7 linked regions of the Kluyveromyces lactis genome follow. The main gene of each other region encodes a partner of the protein of the gene in region 5 in a complex. Links are inferred from orthologs where the notes say so. Each region holds a gene or a part of one and is shown on either strand. Other genes may lie near its edges. The genes, in order: NIC96, GLE1, NDC1, MLP2, NUP1, NUP145 and NUP82.

What was found.
Region 1: NUP1 (region 5) and NIC96 share a complex: the UniProt entries of both Saccharomyces cerevisiae proteins name them as parts of the nuclear pore complex. The link is inferred for Kluyveromyces lactis from reciprocal best matches to the Saccharomyces cerevisiae genes NUP1 and NIC96.
Region 2: NUP1 (region 5) and GLE1 share a complex: the UniProt entries of both Saccharomyces cerevisiae proteins name them as parts of the nuclear pore complex. The link is inferred for Kluyveromyces lactis from reciprocal best matches to the Saccharomyces cerevisiae genes NUP1 and GLE1.
Region 3: NUP1 (region 5) and NDC1 share a complex: the UniProt entries of both Saccharomyces cerevisiae proteins name them as parts of the nuclear pore complex. The link is inferred for Kluyveromyces lactis from reciprocal best matches to the Saccharomyces cerevisiae genes NUP1 and NDC1.
Region 4: NUP1 (region 5) and MLP2 share a complex: the UniProt entries of both Saccharomyces cerevisiae proteins name them as parts of the nuclear pore complex. The link is inferred for Kluyveromyces lactis from reciprocal best matches to the Saccharomyces cerevisiae genes NUP1 and MLP1.
Region 6: NUP1 (region 5) and NUP145 share a complex: the UniProt entries of both Saccharomyces cerevisiae proteins name them as parts of the nuclear pore complex. The link is inferred for Kluyveromyces lactis from reciprocal best matches to the Saccharomyces cerevisiae genes NUP1 and NUP145.
Region 7: NUP1 (region 5) and NUP82 share a complex: the UniProt entries of both Saccharomyces cerevisiae proteins name them as parts of the nuclear pore complex. The link is inferred for Kluyveromyces lactis from reciprocal best matches to the Saccharomyces cerevisiae genes NUP1 and NUP82.

Annotation. Positions count from the first base shown.
Region 1 is NC_006041.1:1,253,996-1,258,275, reverse strand, and holds NIC96 (linker nucleoporin NIC96), read left to right. Parts: upstream 1-1,480; coding exon 1,481-4,063; downstream 4,064-4,280. Other genes in the region: PDH1 (putative 2-methylcitrate dehydratase), read left to right, coding at 1-972. UniProt on the Saccharomyces cerevisiae protein: Functions as a component of the nuclear pore complex (NPC).
Region 2 is NC_006039.1:1,325,351-1,328,800, reverse strand, and holds GLE1 (nucleoporin GLE1), read left to right. Parts: upstream 1-1,315; coding exon 1,316-2,950; downstream 2,951-3,450. Other genes in the region: MRPL7 (mitochondrial 54S ribosomal protein uL5m), read right to left, coding at 6-875; FMN1 (riboflavin kinase), read left to right, coding at 3,330-3,450. UniProt on the Saccharomyces cerevisiae protein: Functions as a component of the nuclear pore complex (NPC).
Region 3 is NC_006038.1:139,184-142,879, reverse strand, and holds NDC1 (Ndc1p), read left to right. Parts: upstream 1-1,375; coding exon 1,376-3,196; downstream 3,197-3,696. Other genes in the region: recombinase RAD52, read right to left, coding at 1-467. UniProt on the Saccharomyces cerevisiae protein: Functions as a component of the nuclear pore complex (NPC) and the spindle pole body (SPB), probably by playing a key role in de novo assembly and insertion of both structures in the nuclear envelope.
Region 4 is NC_006037.1:55,751-60,024, reverse strand, and holds the start of MLP2 (Mlp2p), read left to right. Parts: upstream 1-1,474; coding exon 1,475-4,274. Other genes in the region: RPL40A (ubiquitin-60S ribosomal protein L40 fusion protein), read right to left, coding at 1-298, 838-845. UniProt on the Saccharomyces cerevisiae protein: Together with the closely related MLP2, involved in the structural and functional organization of perinuclear chromatin. Together with MLP2, associates with the nuclear pore complex and form filamentous structures along the nuclear periphery.
Region 5 is NC_006039.1:1,148,483-1,152,510, forward strand, and holds NUP1 (FG-nucleoporin NUP1), read left to right. Parts: upstream 1-1,228; coding exon 1,229-3,952; downstream 3,953-4,028. UniProt on the Saccharomyces cerevisiae protein: Functions as a component of the nuclear pore complex (NPC).
Region 6 is NC_006041.1:1,686,167-1,690,346, forward strand, and holds the start of NUP145 (nucleocytoplasmic transporter NUP145), read left to right. Parts: upstream 1-1,380; coding exon 1,381-4,180. Other genes in the region: kinetochore-microtubule binding complex subunit SPC105, read left to right, coding at 1-1,050. UniProt on the Saccharomyces cerevisiae protein: Functions as a component of the nuclear pore complex (NPC).
Region 7 is NC_006042.1:156,109-160,136, forward strand, and holds NUP82 (linker nucleoporin NUP82), read right to left. Parts: upstream 2,565-4,028; coding exon 501-2,564; downstream 1-500. Other genes in the region: SDH8 (Sdh8p), read left to right, coding at 1-354; MRPL37 (mitochondrial 54S ribosomal protein mL54), read right to left, coding at 2,859-3,155; mannose-ethanolamine phosphotransferase LAS21, read right to left, coding at 3,361-4,028. UniProt on the Saccharomyces cerevisiae protein: Functions as a component of the nuclear pore complex (NPC).

The sequences.
Region 1 (4,280 bases), on a different chromosome or scaffold from region 5:
AATAAGGTAGGATTGGACCACGTTGTTTTGGTCAAAGTTGCTACCACTGCTGTGGTTTCCAAGATGTTGGGTCTATCAGAAGCTCAGACCACAGAAGCTTTATCTCATGCTTTTGTAGATGGACAAGCTTTAAGAACTTATAGGCATGCTCCAAATACTGGTTCCAGGAAATCTTGGGCTGCCGGTGACGCAGTGGCAAGAGCTGTCAACATTGCATATTTGGTGAAGAATGGAAGTCCAGGTACAATTCCTTCCGTACTAACCGCTAAGACATGGGGTTTTTATGACGTTCTTTTCAAAGGTAAACCATTCACCTTCCAGCAAAGGGACACTTTCGGTTCTTATGTGATGGAAAACGTTCTTTTCAAGATATCGTTCCCAGCAGAATTCCATGCTCAAACGGCAGTGGAAGCAGCTATTAAGGTGAATAAACAGTTGGCAGAGTTGGGCAAAACTTACAAAGACATTAAAAAGGTCAGAATTAGAACTCAAGAAGCCGCTGTGAGAATTATTGACAAGGAGGGTCCATTGTACAATTATGCTGACAGAGATCATTGTATTCAATACATGACTGCTATTCCATTAATTTACGGTAGACTAACGGCTGACGATTACAGTGATGAAGTAGCAAGCAACCCTGAAATTGACGAATTGAGAGCTAAGATGTATTGTACTAAAGATGACCAATTCACTTTGGATTATCATGATCCATCAAAGAGATCAATCCCAAACGCTTTGTTAGTAGAATTGAATGATGGGACTGTCTTAGATGAAGTGGTCGTAGAATATCCAATCGGTCACAGACTAAGAAGAAAGGAAGGTGTCCCACTATTGATGCAGAAATTCTACCACCATTTGCGTGAACATTTCGCCGGCGATATTGAAAAGGTGGAAGCTTTAATGGAAGCAAGTACAGATGACGGTTTCTTAAACTTAACTGTTGATGAATATGTCAACATGTACTGCGATTAAGCTTTGTCCTTCGCACAGCATCATCAACGTATAACGACCACAATCAATTTTTCATTTCATTCAACTCTTTTTTTGAACTAAACGAAGTAAAACCTACATTTCAATGGTAACCAAAACAACATTTTCTATTCTACAAAAACTGACCACAGGAATCAAAAGATTCTGGCAATCATCAATTCCAGATTACAATATATAATTAACTTATTTTCTCTTGAGTTAATACATACATACTTATGTTTTAATATTAATTACTGTCATGATCAATTTCTGGCTGTCCATTTTTTTGTCCCGTCACATGTTCGGGTAACGGTGCAAAACATTGTAGTTAAAAAAAATTAGACAGAAAACAATAAAAGAAAATGTAAACTATCAATACGTTGAATAGATGATGGAAATAATTCATTGAAGATACTTTGAAAATCAATACACATTGTTGCTATCCATCGCATCAAATTATCTTTAACCCGTTCAGATTTTGGAATTGTAAAATCCACACAATCGTGGAACTATGAATATCAACAGTCAAATCAGCAGTGATACAATGCTATCTGCATTTCAAAACGATGCAAAGACTAGTGGCTCCACGTCTAAGAGCTCATCGAAATTATTCAATGAGCTTTTAGAAACGTCAAAGAACTTACCTTCTACTTCATCTGACCTTGGAGCTATCTTATTGAGTGTCAATGAGATGAAAAAGAGGGCACAGGAGATGCGTAAGACAATTCCTCACGATTCCAATCATACAAAAGCTCATTATCTCTTAGCAGGAAGTGGACTTGAATTTCACGAAATTGAGAGTTCCTTGAAGAATCTTAAGTCATCAGAGTTGTTAACCGAACAACGGGTTGCACAAGGCTATAACGATGGTGATTTGGACACTTATTTACATATTAAGAAGGATGAGAATATCCTTTCCTCCATTGAACAATCATTGTCTTTAGCAGCGAAGGATTTTGATAATTTCATTAATCAGAACTTCAACCTAGATTGGAAGCAAAGGAAAGATGAAGTAAGAGAAAGCTTTGGGATCCTAGTCAAGAAACGTCAGGATAGTTCTAACTACGATACGACTAATTTGGCTCCTTTGGATCCCAACGGTCCAATATTTTGGGGGAAACCACCTGGTAGTGGTATCTTGGATGGTGATTTAAATTCAAATGTCAATGGAAATCACATCCTTAGAGAAAAGTTTGAGAAATATGCCAAAATTATTTACAGGTTTAACAATTCAAGACAATCACATAATGACGATTTTCAATTAACCAAAGAGTTCATTGCCATCTTTCAGAATACGACCGACTCGAAGTATAGACAGCTACTTGACGGTTGGGAGATTATAGATAATGCAACAAATCAATCCCCAAATATTGTTGAGTTTTCCAAAAAATACCTAGAAAACCAGTTCTTGAGCTATGTTGACAATTTGTATTCAAAGAATCCAAGCGAAGGTTTACCGACCAATGTTAACAAAATTAGAGCATTTATTGACCTCAAACTGAAGACTGGTGAAAATACTTGGAAATTTAACAATCTTACGATTGTGAATGGAATTCCCGTATGGGCCTTGATTTTTTATTTGCTAAGGGCTGGTTTACCGCAGGACGCGCTAGAAGTAGTTGTTAACAACAAATTGAGTTTCAAAAAAGTGGAGCAATCTTTCCTAACATACTTCAAAGCTTATGTAACGTCTCCTGATCATCGTCTTCCACAGGAATTTGTCTCAAGGTTGCATACAGAATATAACCAGCATATCAAAAACACTTTGGACAGCGATCCGTTCCGTTTGGCGGTCTACAAAATTATTGGCAGATGTGATTTGACAAGGAAGAATATCTCTTCTATTACTCTAAGCGTGGAAGATTGGTTATGGATTCACTTGATGTTAATCAAAGATGATATGGATATGGATGATCCAGTATATGAAAGGTATACCCTCAGCGATTTCCAACATACTGTTGTCTCTTACGGTGAGTACATGTTTAAAAACTATTATCTACAGGCCCTTTTGTTAAGCGGACAATATGAACTAGCAGTACAGTACTCATACAAAATAAATGAAATCGATGCTGTTCACTTGGCAATTGGTCTAGCGGCAAATGGCATGTTACATGTGTCATCTTATAAAAAGGATGAGTTGATCTCCGTGAATGATGGCCAAACAAGGATAAACTTTGTTAAGGTATTAGGAAATTACACAAAGTCGTTCAAGTACTCTGATCCAAGAATAGCTGTCGAATATCTAATTCTCATCGCACTAGTGAATGAGAAAGAGCAGATTGAATGGGCGTATGAGGCACTCAGGGAATTGATCTTGGAAACTAAAGAGTTCACCATACTTCTCGGAAAGATCAACTCTGAAGGAATTAGGATCCCCGGTGTAGTTGAAGAAAGACGCCCATTATTACAGCTTGAGGACCAGAAGGACTTTTTGTATAAGATTACCGAACAGGCTGCTCGTAGGGCTGATGAAGAAAGAAGAATTCATGATAGTTTGTTGTTGTACCAGTTATCAGAAGAATATGACATTGTTATGTCCATTATCAACAAGTTATTGGGAGAACTTCTAAGTAGCACTGACCTCAATCAATCCCTCTTTAGGTTGAATGACAACAGCGAAACGAATTACGTCTTAATGGCAAAGAAGTTAATCGAAGTGTACATCAACAACATCGAAATCTCTAAAAAGGTTCAGGCAAGAAACAAAGAAACATGTATTGTCTTGTTGAAACTAGCTGATATAAGAGCATCATTCCTAGCACGCCAATGGCAAAACACCCTACAACAGATTGAAGATCTCGATTTAATTCCGTTCACGGATGAAAGCTCGACCAGAAAAAGAGCACAAGAATTTACACATTTGGATGAGAATATATTAAAGAACATACCTAACCTGTTGATAATTACAATGCTATGCATTTCTAACATCATAAAGCAGTTGAACGAAAGTGATTACCAATCTTTGACTAAAAAGCAGCAAATCGATTCTCTCAAACGTGTTGCTAAAAATTGTATGATTTATGCTGGTATGATTCAATACAAAATGCCAAGAGAAACTTACAGCATATTAATCAATATAGAAGTTGGTTTGTAGCAGAGCTCTCATTTATGAGCACCTGAGTTATGTCAGAACCCAGACGTCCTACCATAATAGCATACAATAAAATAACCATGTGTAAGTCGATTGTTATTCGATATAATTGCCTGATAGATTATATATGCATATGTATATATATACATTTGAACTGCCAATTACCTTTTCAGCAGTGCATTGTTGTAGTGAGTAGAAGATGCAACGAAATGTACAAGAA
Region 2 (3,450 bases), about 180 kb from region 5:
GAGCATTAATTGATCTTTTCCGAACCGTTGAAAGGAAAACCGAATCCACTGACCAAAGTTCTAGCCTGTACGTCAGTTTGGGCAGTTGTGTTGATGTTGATGTGCATACCAAAAGTTACTGGCCAAAGATCTTGATTAGCATCAATCTCTGGGAAAAATCTGACTTCATCGCTGGTCATACCAAATGATAACCCACCAAATCTGTTACCTGACTTGTTGGAGATACCTTTGTATTCTCTGATTCTTGGTAGTACAATTTCAGTCAAAGTGGATAAGAACTGAGACATTGGACGACCTTTCAATGTAATGACAGCACCCATTTGGGTACCTCTTCTGACCTTCCAGGCCGGAACATCATTCCTAGAGAACAAAGCCTTTGGTTTACACCCGGTAATTTGTTGCAATTGTAATGCTGCTGAAATTGGTAGATATTGGTTCTCTTTTGCATCTCTGACGTAACAGTTAATAACAACGGACTCGATGTCTGGAATGTTCTTCCACGTTACTGGATGAATATCTGGCAATTGAGCACTTGAGCCCTTAGGTTTTCTGGGTTCTCTGTTAATGTGATATGGAGAAGAACCGTCCCATTCTCTTTGCTTCAACCCGAGCTTCGTTTGGCTTTTGTGGGAATAATTTATCAATAATAAATCGCTTTGTAAAGTATTATAATAATGCTCACGAACACGGTCTTGATGTGTAACAACAGGCTTGAATGCTGGAGATCTAATATCGTTTTTACTATATTTCAATTCAGGAAACCTTGGGGATAGCTTGCTCTTGTCGATCTTAACCAAATGATGCACTGGCTTAACCAAAGCACAAGCAGCTTTGGAGACCTTTGAACTACTGTGGAAACCACGTACCACTTGCATTATCACTTGGTATCTTCTCACAGATGCGAACGAATGAATGTATAAACCTACGAATGGGAAGGAATACTGCTTTAAATCGAGTGAAACTGATCAAATCTCTATCATTATCTTACAGCTTTAGCTCGAAAGGTCGAAAAATTTTTAAAACTTTCAAGTACAGAGAATTCAATATACGTCACGTGACAAGAATCAACAAAAAGTGAAATTTGATTAAAAACCAGGTAGAGCTCAGTTGATGATTATAGAGAGTGTTGACCTTTCAGCCCTTGTGTTGATGCATTGCAGCCGTTTTTTTTTGATCCCGTACTTAAAGACACGTAGCTGGATTCTCCATTTAGGTAATAACAGTCGAACTTAACCCCGAATCGTTTACTTGAATTGAGCTTTTTACCGATTTGATAAAGTAAAGAAAGCGATTGACACATATCAGGACAATTGAGATGAGGTTCTCATTTGACGAATTGTACGAGAATGCTGAACGGAAACAGAGTCAGAATACCAGCAGCAGTGATTCTGACTATGAATTAGACGGGGAGTTTACGTATATTGGCGATCCATCTGATGGGATCCAGTTAAAACTACCGAAATTATACCATTCTTCAAAGAATGACGGCCAAGGTGAAGAGCAAGGGTTTAGTTCAGGAGATACAATTTCTTTAGAGGATGTGGTAGAACCAGAAATAGTTTCAATGCTTTCCAACTTAAATATCACTCTTGAAAGGAATGCACTACCGCATCTTACAACGAGAGGTCACGAGAATAAAGCTTTAGGCCCTGTTCTTATTGACGAAGCAGAACTTTATTACCAAGAGAAGAAGGATTTGATTGACGAGGTGGAACAACACACCTTTCCTATGCAAGACCAGGTGCTTGAATCTGTGTGGAATGAGGAAATTGATTCAATTGAAAAGGTGAATCAACGTTTAATTAAAAGCATAAAGGATAAAAAGAAGAGGGAAGAGGAAGCACGTATCCAGAAAGAATGCGAAGCGGAGAAGCGCAGACAAGAAGAATTGAAGCATAAAAAGGAGATGGAAAAGAAGTTGAAGGAGGAAGAGAAACGGAAGATTCAAGAAATGGCAGAAAAGGAGAAGAAAGCTGAAGAAGCGAAGAGAGTAGAAGCCCTGAAAAAGAAGCAAGAACAAGAACAACTGGAGAGGAATAAACTTAAACAGTCCAAAGAATCTACAAATTTCAAGTTAATCGAAGAAACTTTTACTAAATACAAAACCATGATTCAGACAATTAAAACAGAAATAATTGAACCGGTGAAGGCGGATCCCACCTTGAAGAAAACTTTAGCACAACATAAGAGGAAAATTAATCCAAAATTCGGACAATTAACCAACAGTACTGCACAATTGAATGCAATCACCAATGAACTTACCGAACTGGTACTTCAAACGAAGGCTAACCAATTAGCCTATAAATGGATTCTAAACTTTATAGCTAAGGCGATTGTTTCCCAAGCAGAATCTGAGGCCAGAGTGAAACCTGAAAGCGCTTTGCCTTTAGGAACACTTGCGCTAAGTCTTCTTGCATCATACCCGGAACTCAAAGAGTTCTTACTGGCGAGACTCATCAAGAAATGTCCGTTTGTTATCGGTTACACGTGCAGCATAGACACAGTCGAAGGAAGAACCAGAATGGGATGGAAACGTCAAAGTGACAACAGATGGGAAGAAGATATTTCATATGATGAAAGGATGGGTGGTATGATTACCTTGTTTGCTGTCATCACAAGATTACCTCTACCGCAAACGTACATTCAGAAACTTGTGCATCCTTTCCCAATCTCTTGGTCATGGAGAATGCTAGCTAGAATCGGCAACACTCCAAAGGATCTACTTACAAATACACACTTCGTCGTTCTTGCCTACTGGTGGGAGGCTGCGGCAGCACAATTGCTCCAAGCATACAACGTTCAGGCAACAAAACTACTTGAAGTTATTTCGATTGATTTAACTGCACTTGTTGCTGACAAAAAATTCGTTGGTGCAGCAAGACTCCGCATTATTAACGAGGAATGGCATAATACAAATCAAATATCATCATTCCCAGATATGGCAGCATAACGGCTAGAGTTTTCTCTAGTAAAATATATATATATATATATATGTATGTATACCTTCAGATCTTCGTTTTCATCATGTGTTCAGGGCATAGTATATGCCTTATGTTCTCATAAAACTTTAATAATGAGGATTCAAATATTTCCAGAGAGAGAGCGTACCTCATTGCCTAGAAATACTCCGCAACTGTTGAACAAACCATGAACCCATTTTCACGTGCCCATTTACCCTTTTCTTTCTTATTCTTACTTGCAACAGTCTTTATACTCAAAGAGTTCGAACCTTTAAAAACGTAGTTTGAATCTTGTGAATACTTCCATGTGGTTATCATACAAACGAATAACGATCGGATCATCAAAAACTCGCAGTAAGACCTAGAGCAATGACAAGGCATTGTGACGTTTCGATACCGGATTCACCTGAACCTCCTTTTCCAATTACCACATCGTTCGTCGATGTAATAGCTGGTTTCGGTCGTGGATCAGCAGAGTTAGGAATTCCTA
Region 3 (3,696 bases), on a different chromosome or scaffold from region 5:
TCAAACTTCACTTTATCAATCTTAGCCAAGAAATCCTTATCATAAAGACAATTCCCAAGAGCGTTTCCGAACCCTCTTAACGATCTTTTCAACGCATCTGTCACTGCAGATTTCTTGGCACGCTCGAAAGCGCTGGCTTTCCTCCGTTCATTTTCCACGGTTCCATACCCAATATCCTCTCTGAACGTTCCATCGGCTAACGAAACACGAACAATAGCGGTGCATCCAATACTAAATCGACCTTGCCTTTCGTCAAGGAAATCTATAGTGACATTTTTAACCTCCGTAGACCATCCGTCATACCCAAAAATCTGGTTTGCTAGATTGATTGCTTTCCAGCCTTCGATATATGCTACTCTACTGGATCCAAATCCTACTCTCTTTGAAATATATTCTGGTCCTAGCTTCTTATCTAACTTCGTTTGAATGTCATCTTTACCATTCTTGCCACTTCCTGTATCCTCCATATCTAACAAACTGCAAAAAGGAAAATTGATGCGAGTCGCACTAATATACCAATCCACAAAATCTTCTACCAGTTAAAGACACAAGCAAGGTGGTATCCTGTCCAATTCAACAGCGCAAAATCGTTAACTGTTTGACCTAGTTTGTTTAAGTTTTAGTTTATCAATACAGTAAATTTGAAAAAAGTAAACAGAGCAGTAGCTTAAATCACGTAAACTTGAAAAAGATCTGTTTCTATCGGTATTAAAAGACGCGAGAGCCATGTAAATTGAAAGGAGTTTTGAAAGGATGGCAATGAAACTTAACATTATCATTATAGGATTGGCAGTACCTGTGCTGTCATAGAAGTACTTACATTGGTCATGAAAGTGGCGACGCAAATCATTCTAATATTTTCAGTACTCTATGAGTGACCTTGTATATATTTGTATATATCTTTTGGACAAGAATATCAACTTTTAAGCGTTAAAGTTGACACGAGACCATTGTTACAAGAAAGAGAAAGAGAATATGACACATATTTAGTTGATTTACTTATTTACATGTAACAACTGTTTACGATATCATCAGGTTCGCGTTTAGCGTCTATATGTTGAGACTGACCTCACTGACAAGGAGGTGATTGTCTTTAGTTTCGAGTTACCATGCAAATCAACTATGACATTGGCATAAGAGGGTTACCCGAATATCTAATTTTTTTATGACGCCTGATCTCTAGATCACAACCTGTTAAGAACTTAAAATGCTTGAGATGATATACAAATAAATAATATAAGTAACTCGGAAGGTAATTGATTGTCCTAAAGTCCAATTGACCTTTGTCTGTTTTAAGCATCTAAAATTACTCAGCTTATTGCTATACAGGCTGTACTTTTACCTGTGTTCATCTTTGATTGGTTTGTTTTCATTGATGTCTTACGTGCAGAGTTTAGGACCGGTTGCACCGCAACTGCGTGATTCTCGTTTTACTTACCATCGGATATTCAGTGGGGTATGCAAGAGCAGGTTTAATAATTTCGCCAGGGGTTTACTCTTCAAAACAGCGGTACTTGTCGGTTTAATTACAACCATTACGACACAATGGGAGTTGTCGAAATCTCAGAAATTACTGTTATGGCCAGTAAAAATATTATCTTTCTATGTTGCAATGTTGATGCTAATTATTACCAGGAAAAACTATCTTCATGTCAATTACCTTGGATATACGAGCTGGATAAGCGCATCATATGGCCAATTAGTCTCCCGTAAATGGATCACGTACCTTTTAGTTTACGTTGTGAGCGCATTCTTCCTTTCTTTGACATTTTCCTGTTGCTTTTTCACTCCAGGTACTGGTTCAAGAAAGCATTCACAGCATTACGAATTTTGTTGTCAGTTTATGGTACCTTTTTTGTATTCCATCCAACATGTACTTTTAGATCTTGACAGACTTACTTTCAACTACGGTGCTCAACATCAACATCCTCAGAAGTTTATGGCTTCAAGAATCCATGATTCATTTTTGAAGTGTCTTGTGTTAACTGCAATACTCTTTCTAATTACTCCAATTCTATTAAAGCTTTTATTCGGACATCTAGGCTCTGGTATATGGTCCCATATTAGGATTTGTTGTATATGCTTGTTAATCTTGCAAACATGGGACTTTACAAACATTGGCTTCGACGCCTTTCTATCAATTGGTTGCTTGCATAAAGGTAAACCAATCTCTTCGTTATCTCCAGCTTCAATGGAGACATTGATCACTGGGTTGAGATCAGAAAAATTATTTGTTAAACTTACTGCATTCCAAGAGCTGGCCTACAGAGCCACTTGTGCAAATGTGGAGTTGAGGCTCCCAATTTACCACAATACCTATAGAAATAGCTTGATCTGGCCCGGTATACTTAGAGAATGTATGATTGTTATTCAAGAAACCAACTATAACGTATCCGATTTCTTGCTTACATTGAAGAAAGAGATTGATCCCCAGCCTACAAAACCATCTTTCCCTATCAATAGATCGGTAGATCATTTATTCGGTACCAACCATACTGTCAGAAAACAAAATAATGATGAGGATTCCAGATTACCTGGTGCTCCTCCTACTGAACAAATAAATTCGGATCTACCATCAATGGCTTCACATAGAATCGTTTTAGAGGACAGCAATGTTTTCAAAAACAACGATACCCAAAGAAGTCCGAATCCTCCGAGATTTATCGACTCATACAAACAAGCAATTTTTACCAGACAACCTACAGTACTTTCTGTTTTGACTGATCTTTGGAATTGGATACAGAGAAGAATCAGTCAGTACTTTTTCACCATCGATTCAACTGATAACACGAACAAGAAGCTCTCATTGTTTGAACTTTACCATATATCAAAAGTAAGGGAAGCTGAGAAGTTGTGTCCTGTGCCAGTATGCTATGCCGAGTGTGTGTATTCGATGATGGGTTTTATAGTAAATTCTGTGGATGAAGATCCCAAAGGAGCTGTCGTATCTTCAGTCGGCGAAGTATTAAAAATTTTGGAAAGATCTATTGGCTCTTTAGGTTCGTTTACTGAATTAATATTGGATGGAAAACAAGAAAAGGATTTGAATGATGTCATAAGTGTGTTGTATGACTTATGTATCAATGCATTTTTGGAAATAGTTTTGAAGTATGACACTCTCCTTAACGATGTTTATTTGGACGAAGATGTCGTGAAGTTAACACAGTGGTTGCAAAAAATGTCACAAGATATTTAAACATAGCTTGGCATCAATTGGATTATTCCCAACAGAAGCATGTTACTCTAATAATATTCAAAAGTTATATTGCTTTCATTATAAAAGAGAAGAAATCTACCCCAAACTTCTGGTATGTTATAGGAAGATGTTACATGTACTGAACAAGCGAGCGGAGAATACTTGCTTCTTATTCCAGAAGTCGGAATTATTCATGAAATGTTTTTATTTTCCATTAACCTTCACTAGATCATAATGACCATTGAGGTTAGTATTTGAGTTACAGCAGAACTTTTGTTATAACAAACTTATTTTAGCATTACGTATGAATAAAATACAAACCAAAGCATACAAACGTTATCTTCATTTTTACAAAAAGGTCATTACGTATTTAAAAAGACTTTTTCCATCGGTTTATCAATTCATCGATCCGCACTAGCTTTTCGTGCACAATTAACGTTTCTCGCCAACCGTAAGTCTTATAAATTTAATAGCAACGTCTGTAGTATCTGCTCAAGAAG
Region 4 (4,274 bases), on a different chromosome or scaffold from region 5:
TCTAGCGTAACACTTTCTGCAAACGGACTTTTCACAGTTGTACTTAGAAGCCAAAGCCTTTAAAGATGGTTCAATGATACCACCTCTCAATCTCAAAACCAAGTGCAAAGTGGATTCCTTTTGGATGTTGTAGTCAGACAAGGTTCTACCATCTTCCAATTGCTTACCAGCAAAGATCAATCTTTGTTGGTCTGGTGGGATACCTTCCTTGTCTTGAATCTTAGACTTGACATTGTCAATGGTGTCGGAAGATTCGACTTCCAAAGTGATGGTCTTACCAGTCAAGGTCTTGACGAAACTGTTTTCAAAAAGATATGATTTGTTAGTAAAAGTTTGAAACTCGATCAGAACAAAGTTCTTAAGGCAATCTTATTGGGACGATTCCTAGAATTAGTGAACGTTCAAGTTAATTTTGCTAGATTAGTAAAGCTTAATAAAAAACCAAAAAAAATTCCCTCTGTAGGTATGAATTGTTGTGCATTTGATAGTTAGGAGGTGATAGGTCCCATTAAACTGCTTCCTTGTATCCTTATTCATTCTGCAAAGCGTACTTGCTTTCGTTTGAAGAAATCGTGACATATATCTCACTCAACAGTTTAGACCGCGTACTCACACTCTCCGAAATGAAACGCTCAAGTTCTCACAGGATAGCGACTATCATGATATATGTTACACCAAACACAGTAAATCCTTGTCATTTTCATTAGTTGTTATCCGAGTTCGTCTTGTTGTTTTTTAGCTAATGTGCTTTCGTCCCATTTCAAAGTAGCATAAACCGTCTTGAATCACCAAGAAACCCCAAAATAAGATGCCTTTTGCTTATCATATTGTGCATACATTTGCATTTTTGAATCTTGTCCTTTCCTGATCTTTTTGATAGTAATCAACAACTAAGTACAGCTATCTTAAGTGCGTATGATTAAATGATATAATCCAAAATACTTTGAGTATGAATTCTTGCTTGCTTTCCTCAATCTGGGTTTGGTACATAGAAAGTTGGTGAACCTGAGGAATCGACAACGAGCAAAAACGAAGTGATTTCTGCAATTAGAAAATAAAAATACCGTTTTGAGGAATATATGCATTTTTAATTGTCAAGCCCCGAAATTTATACACCCAGACACACTGTTGAATAGTGCACGGATGTTGTTGCAAACCGTCCCAACTTGGAACGTAGAATTTTACTGGTACCGGTTACCCTGATTGTTAGTTTAGATACGACTTCTGTATTTCGTTCTGCAGTCAGTTCGTGGTATCTGGTCGTTATTTTGAATTTCACCGAATTGGACCTAATATTGAAATTGAACAAAAATTACCTGTCAAGAACAAAGCCTATGTGCATTGTATATGCTCATGTATACCTGCAGAAATTTTTAGTATACTTCTAATTGAATATCATAGCGATTAGCTTGAACACTAGGTAAAAGTAGCGTCTTATAGATTGCTATTCCATTGTTGTGTTGTGGAGTTGAGAATGTCCGTAGAACCCATTGCCTCTAGGGTCGCAGACTTTCTACAAGTCGACCAGCAACTGATACAAGACATTAATAATGATGTTTTAGGTAGGATTGAGGAGAAGTTGGAAGATCTTCGGAAACAAAAATCTGAAAACCTAAGAATAACTGCTACCTTGGATCAATTAAAATCTCAATCAGAGAACAAACTAGAATCATTCAAAATTCACATCTCTCAACTAGCCAAGGCATTGGAAGATGGGAAGGATGAGCGCTTACACTTTGAAGAAGAGAAAAGGCGTCTAATTGAAGGAAATTCACAAGTGACCAAAAGAATCATAGAATTGGAACAAGAAATAGAAGTAGAGAGGCAACAAAAAGAACTTGCTGACGCTTCTAAGCAAGATATTGCAGAGTCACTAAACGAAAAAATTGAAGAACTCAGTTCTACCAAAGCTAAATTGAATGAAGCACAGGGAGCGAATAAGGAACTTAGACAAAAAGTCGTCAATACTGAAACTGAGCTACAAACTCAGCAGGCCTTAGAGCTACGTTCGAAAAGCGAGATTTTAAGGATGGAACAAGAAATCACATTATTGAGAGAAAACAATGACTGGTTGACCAATCAGTTAAATACCAAGACCGTACAACTCAATGAGTTTAGAGAAAGCACAATTAGTGAATTACAAGATTCTCAGTTAAAGGTATCGAATATGGAATCAGAGTTGGAAATAGCTCGAACCAGTAATCAGAAACTAAAACAATCGGTACACAGTTTACATGAACAACTGGAGCAAAAACTTTCCGAGAACAAAGAAATTAAAGATGAGTACAATTTCTCTAAACAAGAGCTTACGAAAGAGATGTCTTTAAAGCAGAGAATGATTGATGCTCTAGAGAAACATATGGAATCATTGAAGAAAGAAATGGATGCTACAAAGAATAACATGGACTCATCATATTTCACCGAAAAAGAAAGAGACGAGCTCATTGAAGAGCTCAATGCGGTCAAATATCGTTTAGACGCATCTGAATCTAACTGCATAAAACTTAAGGAGACAATCGATGAATTAACATCCAACATAAAATTAGAAGACTCCGAAGTTGGTAATACCACTGCGTCTTCAGAAAAATCGGTTTCTGTCATACCTAAGTTATATGGTGATTTGGGAATGCTCAAAAAACAGCTGGTTATTGAGAAAAGACAAAAAGACGAGTTAAAAATGCAAGTGGAAGCATTCGTTGTTGAATTAGAGCATAAAATCCCTGTTCTCAATTCCTTCAAAGAGAGAAGTGAAATGCTTGAAAGAGAGTTAAATGAGGTTACTATTTTGTTAGAGTCAACTGGCAAAGACCGTGATCAAAAGTCGTCACAACTTGATTATTTGAAAGCTACTGTGAAAAGCTATGAGACTCAAATAGCCTCCCTATCTAAGCAACGTGTTGACCTTGCCCATCAGATACAGTACTTACTCGTGAACGAATCTATTAAGTCAGAGGATGGCGGACCATTATCCGCTGAAGAATTGCAATTTGTCAAAAATCTAACCAACTCTCAAGAAATAACAAAGACCTCTGACACTCAAGGCATTATAACCGATCGACTAGTAGAATTTAGATCAGTAGTTGAGTTGCAGCAGAAAAACTCCGAACTTCTTTCTACAATTCGCAATCTTGCTGATGAATTAGAACGCAGGGAAGCTGAAAACAAATCTCAAATCCAGGTATTAGAGGATGAAACGGTGAGAGAGGCAAAAGAAACCATTCTTACACTTCATGATCATGCACAGAACCTTGAAAACCAACTAGTCATTCTATCAAAGGAGAGGGACGCATACAAGGCATTGTCAGTAAATGCTAGCTCTGGCACAAACACACCTAAGGCCATTACTTACCCTTCTCCTGATAATGACGATAAAGTGAAGGATCTCGAAACAAGACTCACCGCTGTCATTCAAGAAGCAGAGAATAATGCCAAGGAATGGTCATCAGAAAACAGCAACCTGCGTAAGAAATTATATGAAATATCACTTAATTTCGAATCTGAGAAAACTTCACGTACTCTTGCAGAAGATAGGTTAAATCTATTACAATCAACTTTAGAGCTTTCCAAACGCCAATGTGAGGAGCTACAAAAAAGATCATCTGATCTACAAGATATTTTAACAAAACAGGACAAACGTACACAGGAGACTGTAGATTCCTTAATCAAAACGAAATCCACTTTGTCATCTATACAATCGGAACTATCCATCTTGAAGTCTGAAAAACAGTTTATGGCAAAGGTTCAAAAGGAACTGAAGGCAGAGAACGAAAGATTTTCCAAAGAAAGTGTCGAATACAAGGTGTTAATTGCGCAACTTCAGACACTCCAACGTGAGAGAGAAATGTTACTCAAGGAAACTCAGAATTCTTATAAGGAAAAGCTTAGAAAATTGGAAATTGAGTTGTCTGGTTCACTCGAACGCCTTGAAGAAATTGAAAAAAACACCACAGGAATTGCTAGCAATAAAGAGCATCAATATAATTGGTTTCAAGAAAAGATTGATAAGTTAACTAGTGAGGCAGCTCAACAGAAAACGACCTTAGAAGAAAAAGAAGCTCAACTTCAGAAAATGCAATCCACTATCAATGAACAATCCGCAAAACTCAAGGAGGCCGAGGCACGGGCACAATCATATACGATGTTAAGTAATGTCGATGATGCTCAAAACCTAGTTGAGACTTTGAGACAGGAATTGGAAAAGGTTAACTTGCAACTTTCTGATTCATATTCACAAATAGAGCATCATAAAACTCTGGCGGAACAGTCCGTGCAAT
Region 5 (4,028 bases):
ACGTCAAACGATCAAATAACTTAGTAAAGCACCTAAGGAAACAAAAAACGATACCGAGTTGTTAAAGGTAAAATGCCTTCGTTTGTAATTTTTCAGTTTTCTTCAATTGAACAGTGGATATACGCTATTCTAATATCACATTTTTCTCGAGGCAACCCAGATTCGATCAGGGAATATTGAAAACTACAAAAAAAAAAAAAAAACTATATGATACCATTAGCAGAGCTCAGCCATAAAAATAGCACATTTATGACATTTATGACATTTATCGATCTCCCACTTCATGACTCGTAGTCGAAGGCATCGTGCGATGTTCCACTGCCCATTTTCTTCTAGTGTAATGATTCTTTTCTTTTCGGATTTAGACTTATGTGTTCGTTTCAGTCTTCTGTCCCTTCAAGGTGTTTTTTGGGATTTTCCTTGACCGATATGGCCTCTTCGTTTCGGAATCAAGCGGTCTGTTCTGTGGTGTCGAAGCCTCATAACCACATTCGGTGTTGCACTTTTTACTTGATTTCCTCCATGACGCGTTCTTCAAGGTTTCCCCAAACTAAAAAAAAAAAAACAAGATGGGACGAATGTATGACAGGATGGGGAGAAATCGGTCACGTGATAATCTGAATTTCACAAGAATAGAACACTTGTACTGTTAAGCATGGCATTGATGCACACTACGTTCTATCCTGTGCGTTCTTGCAGTTTAACGTTAAGTTTTTCTTTACTTATATATCAATTTGTTCTTTTCGATCCCTCATGTCACTTTCAGGCCTTATGTATAGAAAAATGAACAAAACTTGAGTTCTATATAAAACTTGAAAGCTAAAATAACGAAAAAGGGTACTTTTGTATTAAGTGGACGGCAAATCTTTAAACTTTCATAATGTAGAATCGTTATAATAAATTTTGGATAATAGTCGAGCCCCATATTGATGTTTTGGAACTAATGCAAATTTATGTCCATCTCCTAGCTAGACTCTCTTATACTGACGCCTTGGTTAGTTTAGGTCAATATGTGTCAAACCGTACAAAGTGATTATAACCCTGTAAGAGGAAAAAAATAACAGCTAGGAATGTTAGGACTTGAAATATCGAATTATCAAATATCGAATAATACCTTTATTAATACGCAAGAAAGTTACAGAAACAGCAGTTTCGAAAGAAATAGGAATCGAAAACTTGAATTGGACTCTGGTTCACTTGCCGCATATCACGGCCACTTTATAGAATAATGTCGGCATCATATCTGGAAAAACCCAAAAGATCGATTTCATCGACTTTGGCATCATTATTTACCAAGCATGACGATACGAATAGCGAAGATCCGAATATAACAAGGTCGCACAATGAAGATATCAGTGATTCAGGATCAGTGGTCATCAAGAGGCAAAAACGTGGCTTCGACGGTTACGAGGAATTGGTTTGGAATAACGAAAAAATCACCGATCACCCGTTAAATCACAATGGCATTGATGATATCAATTATGATGAAAGACCGAATATTTTCTTGTATGAAGGGGATTCTGAACATGGTGTAAGGCCTCCAGTACTAACGATAGAACCGAAACAAAGATTGCGGCTACTAAGGATGCAGCAACTGCGCCGTGCTCGGCAATTCCCACTTTTACAAAGACAATTACAATCAGCAGAGAACGGCCTATATCGCTTAACAGACGGCAAAAATGCTACTATAAAGAATTTACTCGTCAACAAACTACAAAGTGACAAGAAAAATCATAGGGTTTCCGATAACCCAAAGTCCAAGAAGTGGAAAGCTGATTTTCAATACGATTTATCAGAATATGATATCTTGAAAAACGACAAAAAGACGAAACCAGTATCTGCCTCAATGGGGAATTTGGAATCTCCTAAACTACCACATCCATTGCTAAAAAGGAGTACCTCTTCAAAGAAACATGTCAATACTTTTGATCAAACAGGAGTGCCTAGTGGATCTGGCTTAACTGATGTTCAAAGCAGGTTATTACAAGGAAAGACATTGCAAAAAAATCCAAAGATAGCACAAGAAGTAGTTGCACCAACACTATCATTGAAACCTATCGTCAAGGAAAAAATATCAGAAGATAAAGTTTTAAACGCTAACGGCCCAAGTGTTGGATTTGACTTTATGAATAGAGACAGTACTTCTATTTTCCCAGGTAGCACAGATACACCTACCAAACCAACAGTATCCAAAAATATATCTTTTGGAAATACCAAATTGGATTTATTCAACAATGATAAACAGAAATTAACGGCCCCTTCTCAGGATTCTGAAGAGTTACCAAGAAAAAAGAAAGAATTTAGTTCTACTGAGGACACTGTTAAACCATTTCCCTTCACAAGTTCTAAGTCGCTGGAAACATCAACTGAACCATCGAAACCTGCTTTTTCTTTTGATGCGGTAAAAAAAAACAACACAGCTACAGCCAATGGAGGCACAAAAATCTCAGATGGTGCTCCTTCTTTCACCTTTGGTGATTTATCAAAAACCAAGAAAGAGACCAAAAAAGCTGAAACATCCAAAAACCCCTTTGAGAAATCCGCCCCCGAACCTGTTGAAAATCTGGCTAAAGACGGCCTCCCTAAGTTCAGCTTCACTGGTGCGGATACAACTGGGATATCAAATATACCTACATTTAGTTTTGGAAAATCTTCAGAAGGCAAAGAGATAGCTAAACCCGCCCCTTCATTCAGTTTTGGCAGCCAAAAAGATGCAGGCGAACCAACTAATGTCAGTGAAATGTCAAAACCTATGTTTAGCTTCAACAAAGGAAAATCATCTACTCCAGATCTGACCCCATTGAGTACCTCTCAATCAACTAATACACCTAAACCACTATTTCAGTTTGGTTCCAGTGGTAGTACTGAACCTGCCGCAAAGAGACCAGATGGTACAAAAACTGAAGCACCAGTGCTGCCATCATTCAGCTTTGGTGGTAAACCTGTAGGAAATGATTCGTCAAAAAATATTGAGAAGGAAAAAGCTAAACCTTTCAGTTTTGGGCAAGCTTCGAATACATCAGCATTTTCTCTCAACCAACAGCCTTCAGCAGACAACGCGACAGAGAAGCAGGAAGCCAAAAATGCCGTCAGTACTGCTGTAAAACCTGCATTCTCCTTTGGTAGCACCCCAGCAGCCCTACCTTCTGATACAACCCCAAAAGAAGCTGCTGCACCATCATTTTCGTTCGGGACCACAAAGAAACCTGTTCAAGGTGATATGAGTTCGAAACCTGCATTCTCTTTTGGAAGTTCCTCTGCCATCCAGCAGCCCTCAATTGAAAAAGCTTCCAATGCAATTCCTTCGTTTGCAAGTCAGAACACCAGTGGCCAGCCTGTCAGCGGACTCAAATTTGATTTGACAGGGTTTAAAAATAATAATAGACAAACTACTCCGACTCCGTTTTCAGATTCATCAAATGTTGGATCTGCTCGTGGAAGCAACCCTCCTGTCCCATTCTCATTTGATAATGTCGTTCAACCTGGGAATAAGATAAGTGTAACGCAGCCTACTCAAACTACATTTACTTTTGCACAACAAAATCAAAAACCATTTACTTTTACTGGAAGTGGGCCAAGCACTACCAACAGTTCACCTGCATTTGGAACCAGTTCCAATCAGCCTAATGTACCTTTTTCATTCGGCGGAAGCTCAGCTTCTTCCACTCCCCAGGTACCAGCATTGGGTACCGGTTTCGGTAATTCTATGCAGACAAACACATTTAATCCTTCAGCCGCTGCCAATTTTAATTTTGGTGGTCAACCATCTCAAAGTCCTTCTGTAGTATTTGGATCCCAAACCCCGCAACAGAATCCATCGTCCATATTTTCCGCTGGTCAGCAGAATCCAGCGGACATATTCAATGCGCAGGCTTCAACTCCTCAAGGAGGGGCACCATTTCCACCGCAGCGCAAAATTGCTATGCCCGGTAGGAGAAGAAGAAGAGGCTAATAAAGGAAAACAAAGGCTTTGCATCTCAATTGTAACAATTATTGCATGATATCATTCCTTCCGACATCTTTACATT
Region 6 (4,180 bases), on a different chromosome or scaffold from region 5:
GTAACCATAATGGCTAGATTACAATCTGAAAAAGTCTGGTTTGAGTGGAGATCACAACATTTGAAAGGAATTAAAACAGTCCTGGAAGAAAATATAGCTATCTTGGTGGATGAAAATGCCCAGATCATGAAATACATGAATGAAATAAATGACGTGAAAATAAGAGTTAGTGACATCAAACAGGTGTTAATGAAAGAACTTGATGTTCTTCGGCAGCACAACGATGTTTTTAGTAACAAGAAAGAGAACATAACGACTCTCCTGAAAGTGAACAAATTGAAAGGAGACTTGAGGGAGAACATGCTAAAGGTGTCAGACTTGAACCAGCTGACCACTAAAAAAGATCAACTTACCCAAAAAATACAAGATGCAAAATTGGAGATGAGTAAAGTGAACGAAGAGATTGCTCAACTTCGACAGGACTTGAAACAAAGCAAAGTTTGCACAGAATATGATGTGGCAAAGCTTAAACTAGTCCATCAGCTTTACCAAAGCATTTCTGGTATAAAGTTCAGAAAGTTAGTTGGTCCAGTCCTATCTGTATCATTACATGACGACAAAGTTATTGTGACAGCTGATCTTTCAAAAATTGATCAACCGTCATGTATTTCATTCAGTATTAGAGAAGAACGAATAGACCAATTTGAAAGAGAATTTATAAACTGTTGGATCAACTCTTGCCAGCGAACCTTCATAAATGGACTACAGTGCATATCAAGTTTGCAACGTCAACTGATAGATCTTTCAATTGTCATTTCAGAATTCAAAAAATTAAAACTCGTATTCCCGGCAACCGTCAATGCCCCATCACAGAATTCTCAGATCAAATATGTCACATTCCAGCATTTGGACTATAAATATCATTGCAAAGTAGCCCTTTCTTTGCCTATGGAAAGGTTTATTGATTTGATATGTCACTCTAAAAATGCGACCATCAATGTTAATATTATCTATGGCGAAGAAAAAACAGCAAGAAATCTAACGTCTAATCTCATAAAGAAATATGAAAAGGTATTTAAATGGCTCTCCAATTGTAATATAGCTCTTTGATATGGATATCCGAGCTTTTGTAGCGCAAGTTTTAGGCATTACGCAGTATATAGTTTCGTACGATATTTCTTTAAATTTCTCTCGAATGGCAATATTCCAAAAAATTGTTATTCTATAACATTTAAACAGTAAGATGAGTGTAAACAAAACACCTTTTGAACTCTAACAAGTGCACTACTTGGCTATCATTGATCGCAGAGCTTCTAAAAACCAATTCCATAGCTGGTGTTCATTGCTGCAGACGAAATTTCTCAGTTTTTTGTTACTGCTGTCATTTTTGAATCTGTACAGTTTAAACATCATCATCATAAATTCAACAACAAGTTGATTATGTTTGGTAATAACAAAGCGCCTGGTTCGTTATTCGGCAACGCGAACACCTCAACACCTACAACTTCTACACCAGCGAACAATGGGGTTTTGAATGGAAAACCCAATACTGGCACATTGTTTAGTGCTAATACACTCTCCACGCCGAGCCCTGGAAACCCAACAGGATTTGGCAATGCTCAGAACAACAACAACAAGCCTGGGTTGAATCTTTTTGGAAACAACAATGCTTCCCAGAATACACCACAGACGAATTCTCTATTCCAGCCTAATAACGCCGCTGCATCAACGCCCAACACATCATTATTTTCTGGCCCAGGGTCGAATGCCCAGCAGAACAATGGTGCTGGCAAGCTATTCGGAAATTCTGGTGGACAACAGACAGCTACTGGTATCTCATTCGGAAATAACCCCAGTGCGACAACAAACAATACGTTCCAATCAAACGGATTAAATACGCAACAGAGTGGTGGTTTATTTGGTAATAAATCAAACAATGGTGGGTCACTTTTCGGAAATACTCCATCGCAAACTAATAGTCTATTTTCTAATAATACCACGAACACGGCGTCAACAGTCCCAAAGACTTCACTGTTTGGAAATTCATCAACACAAGGTTCAGGGAGCTTATTCTCGTCCAGCAAACCAACTACAAATTCAACAGGCTTGTTCAATGTTTCTCAACTACAACAGCCACAGCAACCTGGCCAACCCCCAACGAACAACCCATACGGTTTGCAATTAAGTCCAAATCCTGTGCTGTCAATGCCAGAATCTATTACTACATCCCTGAGTAACGAGAGAAAGCCTGTCTCAGACTCGAAACAAAATAGAAAATTTTCAACTGCATCATCAGTGATCAGCAACAATATATTACCTCCCACAGGCAATTCAACACTGATAGGGAAGCTAACTTCAAGACTTAAGAATTTGAAGAGCAGAGAAACAACACATGGTTTGTTCTCCCCATCAAATAAAAACTTAGCCCAACAGGATACTTTCTCGGCACTTTCAAGAGATGAGAGTAAGGAAAAAGGGAAGAATATTAACAATAAGACAAACTCACTGGCTTCTTATTTTAACCAGGACGTTTCAAGCATGAAAAAATTAACCATTGATACAGACAGAAGCGCTGCCAAAAAGATGAAACTCTTTAACGGTCACTCTTCCGCTACCATAATGAAAGATATGGACGAGAAAGATCATAAGATTAGTATACCAAGGAATGATAAACTTCTTTTTTCAGCACATCCTTCAGAAACTAGTCCAACAGAGCCAACTTCGGAAGTCTGTCTGGATGAAGAACACAAAATAACGAATAAAGCAACTGACTATTGGTGCTCACCTACTATCGAACAATTAGAGCAACTTACGGAAAACCAGCTCACGGTTGTGCCCAATTTTGTGATTGGTCGCAAAAACTTTGGTTCCATCAGTTTTGACTATGAAGTTGACTTAACTGCATTTATGGATGATTTTGAAGAACTATTCGGAAGAACAATAATTTTTAATGAGAATAGAACCGTGGAAGTCTATCCTGATACCGAAAATAAACCGGATGTTGGTTATGGTGTCAATGTACCTGCTACAATAACTTTGGAAAATGTTTATCCGATCGATAAAAAAACAAAAGAACCCATTAAAGACAACTCGAAAATTGCTGAAGTTCAATATTTTGTCAAGCGTTTAAGGAATATGAAAGAAATGGAATTCATTTCATATAACCCATTTGGTGGAATTTGGACTTTTAGAGTTAAACATTTCAGTGTTTGGGGAATGGTCAATGAAGAAGATATGGAGGTGGATGCTGAAGAAGCAGAAAGAATAAACGCCGAGGAAATAAGAGACAGACCTCTGGCCTTTCCCAAGCGTCGCCACAGTGTGAAGAAGTCTAGCACGTCCCTTGAAGCGGAGGTACCAAGCAATGCAGACCTCACAGCAGCAGAGGCTCTTGCAATGGAGAAAGAAGTACTAGATTTGGTTCCAGTACTATCCGACTCTGTTGACCAAGACATGTCACTTATTATCAAGGAAAAACCTTACGAACCTTCTGATTTAGACGAAGATGATTTGAATATCCTCGAGGCTGCACCTAAACTTGTTACATCATCGAACTGGTTGCAACAATTACAATTAGCAGGTACTTCCAAACAGTCTGTGTATTCCAAGCCACTTTTACTCAAAAACACGCAAGGTAATTCTTTGGACGATATCTTGTTCCCTTCATTTAAGAAAGATTTATTGACATACCAATCTGTTAAAAGAGAAAGAAGAATCAACTCACATATGTGGTTTGCGAAGTTTAATATTAACGGGCAATTATTGCTCAAAGATCCATCACAGTTGTCAGGCTGTAAGCAGATCGTGTTTCAGTCCAACTTGCCAATAAATAAATCTTCTTTTGACAATGTGTTCGCCTCTTATCTGAACACATCCATAGTCAACTCCAGACCAAATGGTTATCCTCTTGTTGGGAAATGTTCCTTACAGTTCGATAATCTTGCTTCTGCATATTCTGATGTCCCAAATGAAGACAAAATATTGAAGTTAGCATCCATTTTGTTTGATCCTCTTTCCCTTCCATACGCTGTCAATTCCCCAGAAGTTGAAAAAGTTCTTATTAAAAAACAACGGCATGCAAAGCTCTGTGGATGGATAGTCGATGAAACAAGGGCTGAGATTGATTCTATGCTATCCACTGCTTCTGATATTCAGAAAATACTTCTTTTCCTCTCTGTCAACGACATTGTAAATGCTTCAAAGACGGCTATAATTTCCAAAAACAAACATTTATCTGTTT
Region 7 (4,028 bases), on a different chromosome or scaffold from region 5:
CTAAGACCAGCCTTTGTCAGGTTGAATCAAATTAGAACATTTCAAGAAAGAAGAGCAGGTCCACCACCATTACCAAAGGAAGACCAGGAAGAGTTTGAAAGGCTGCAGAAGCTAGCGTCTTCTCAAGAAGCTATTGATTCTTATAATGCACAGTTTGAATCGGATCATACTATGGAATCGGTGAAATCGCCAATCTTGAAGAACGATATTGGTGGGTTTTCTCCAGAATTTATGAAGACTATACCAGAGTTCGAAGGCGAAAAGAATCCTAAAACAGGAGAAATTGGTGGACCAAAGCAGGATCCATTAAGGCATGGTGATTATTCTTTCAACGGAAGAGTCACCGATTTTTGAGCGCCATTCACACGTTAAAACAAAATTCGGTTAGTAGCATATTCACATAATGAAATGATATAAAAAGTAGCACATAATATAGTAAGGTATATGCCAGTTTTAAAACTAAAAACGAAAAAAAAAAGATATGTAGATGGTGATTGCTATTATACCGCTAGATCTTCAATGGATGCGCTTAACTCATTCATACAAGAATTGATGACCTTTTTGTCGTTCAGTAACATTTGTTGTAGGGAACTAAATTCTAGCTCGGAAAAGAAATCGTCTCCTTTAGTAGTTGATCTAAGCTGTGTGTCCAAAAACTCTAGTTCTTCGCGAAGTTTGTTTGTCAGATGTACATAGTTATTGAACTTTAATACCTGGTTTTTGATACTTTTGAACCACACTAGTTCGGCCTCGCTGATACTGCTTGTTCTTAATTTCTCGTTATTTTCTATACTGGAGAATGTCTCTTTTAACTTGTCAAGTCGTTTTTCCAACGTCTTGGACTTTTCCTCATACCTGGAATATCTTTCTTGGAGGTCTCCCAAGTTTCCGTTAAGTTTATTTCTCAACATTTCGATCTCGTTGGTTTTTCTTAATTGGCGATGGAGTTCAGCCACTTCTTCGTTGGATTTGTTGAACATTCTAAATAAAATCATCTGTCCCAACTTGACGCGCTTCATGGTTTCCTTGTAAAGTTCAGAAACCACTTCCAATTGACGTTCATTGGAATTGTTCTTCAAAGGGAGAGGAGCCAAAGAGTCCGGTATGCCTGAAATGAATCCATTGGCTTCTGTTTTATACTTCGTCAAAAGCATATCCAATTCCTTTCCAGACGTTGGCAACGATGGTTTATATGTATATTTCACTTCATCGGTTCTGTTTATGGGTTTCTGTGTGGTGCTCTTGTCGTTACTCTCGATGACCTTGAAGGAATTGCCGTTGTAAAGAATATCACCAGACAAGGTAGATAAAACACCGAGGAAAGTTCCTGAAACTGTTCTTATTTTATTTTCAAACTTAACATCATCAATGATAGAGAAGTCATGAAGCCTTATGCACTGTGCCAATGGTTCCAACCATGGCATTTCCATGATAGTCGTGGAGCTATCACCAGTAAATACTAATTTAGGTTCCGAGGAGTTTAGTAGTTGGCATTGACCTTTTGCATTGAACATTGTTATTACACTAAGGTTATTGAATGTAGTATTGGAGCGTAAACTCCAACTCATGACAATTTCAGAATCGGAGAACAACACAACGTTTGTTCCATCTATAAATTGAAGATTCAAAAGGCCCAAACGTTCTCCAACCGGTATGATTGTCAAGCCTGTGACCTCTTTCGCATTCAAAGCTGTCGGAAATTTTTTTATAATGAACGGGCCCTGTGGTACAGAGTTCCTGATTGCTTTGCTCGTGAATGTGTCTATACCATCATTTTTTTTATAGTTGTCGAAAAATTGAATTTGTTTCAATAGATCATGCTTTAAGGTGAGGTAATCGGATTCCACATCAGGATCTGAACCTGATATCAGCTTTAGCTGTTTATCGAGGCTATTGTATAAAGACAATGATTTGTGCAACATGTAATCCGCTAAAGAACCATTTTTCGTCCTTGATGTGACATTTGATGTATCATTACTGCGTAGGGAAAAATTCTTTGGTAGACACGGATGGATAGCATATATGTCACAGTAATTGAAGGAGCTCAGCAGATAAAGTGTCAAACCGGTTGGATCAAATGCAATGTCACAAACTGATTCCACATGGTCTGATAACCCAAATGATCTCGATTTACGATTGAAAACAGTGATAGATTCGGGTTCTAGGTCTTCAAGATCATAAATTCGAATTGTACTATCATCATGCAAAATAACGAAAGATAACCCATAAGTAGCCAGAGGATGCCATAATAGTTTTTTTATCCCTAGACTGGTATTGAAATGCTTTCTTAATCTAGATTGCTCATTCACTTCCATGACATAGAGCTCGCTGTTCGCATGAAATGCTACAAGGCCCCCCGACGGACTGATGACCATTTGTTCTGGAACGAATGGAAGCTCCACATTATAACTCCTGTATTGCGTTTCGTGGTCTGATTGCACTCTTAAGATGTTGTCCTGCCATAAATAAATAGTGTTGGAATTGTTGCAGACAAGACGGTCGGAAGGGTTCAGAGACACTTCCTGGAAGATTGCCTTCAAATCTTCTGTATTGAAGAGTAACATCCCACTATATTGGTTCAATATCCGGCAGTTAAAGTTATGGAAGAGAAGGTACCACAGTTAGATCGCCAGTTGATCTGTGTTACGTGTATTTCAAGAAGCGTGAGAGTAGTTCATCGTCGATATATTTTGAATATTTTGAACTTTAATAGTAAAAAAAAAAAAATACCTATAGCAGATCCAGTATTGCAGAAAAGGAAGTGTACGAAAGATATCAAAAAGTTATGTTAGATATGTGTCTTTATGTCATTTTTATATGTATATATATTTACAGGCGTGAATCATACTGTGGGTCCGTTAAATCTTTGCTAAGAAGTTATTTTGTTTGATGTTGGCACGGTTGGCTATCCTTAATTGTTTTTTTCTTAGCTTGATTGGATCAGCTGCTAGTTTTTCAGCTTGGACGTTGGCATCAAGCACTGTCCAGAGCCATTCAGGGTATTCGCTGTCTTCTAATGCCACGGGTTCCTTACCGGATTTCTTGATTTGTAAGTTCAATGGAGTGCCAGCTGGACATGATGACACGATCTTGGCAGCTTGGCCAGATGCCTCGCTTTTCACTTGGTTAAATAGCACGCGAGTCACTCTCAACATTTCTCTCTTTATATAATATGAAAAATAACCGATTTGTTATGGTGGGTATGTGGTTGCCGATACCAATTCGAACCTCAACAATAAGTTTTGGCAAGTTTGTCCTGCCTTGCGGCTATCAAAGTTCATGATCATTTACAGTCCAATTTGAATTTCTATGGTACAAAATGTTGATTTTATCGAAATTTTTCATTCAAAAACTAAGAATTCACAAAACGCCAAGCAGGGTAATGGCGAAATCCATGACGACATTATAGAGGGACCAGGCCGCGTAGTAGCATAGTTTCGGGCTAAACACGGACCAAATGAATAGGTGGTACCTTAGTGCAATGCACGCTATCATTAGACATGTTCCGGTGATATAGTAATGCTGCAAGCGTAGTGTCTTCTGTTTGTAGCTTTGAGGAATTAGTGAGAGAGCCCAGTAGATGGATGGTGCGTAGTTAGACAAGAACATTAATACACCAACAACGTATATGTTATAGTTGCTACTAACACCATTGTATGCATTAGTTAGATTGACAGTTGCAATGGAGTTCGTACCACCAAATTGGAAAAAAGTGAGGTTTTGTAGACATAATGAGAAAATTGGTGTGATGTCCGGTGTGACGCTAGTCAGTATTTCAAATATTAGAAACAATGGGATATTTGCAGATGAAGTTTGGAGCAACAAGACGAATTTTATAACACTCAGTAGTTTGTTTAACATATTGGTGCTTTTATTCAAGGCGTATTTCATGAAAAGAAGGATTATAATAGATACACCACATATTTGGAAGAAAATCCGAGCGATAGGCACTAAACATTGTGAAATATCTGATTCTGTAGCATTTTCATTAGCTAGATACATGGCGCATGATCTAAGTGCGAATGTGT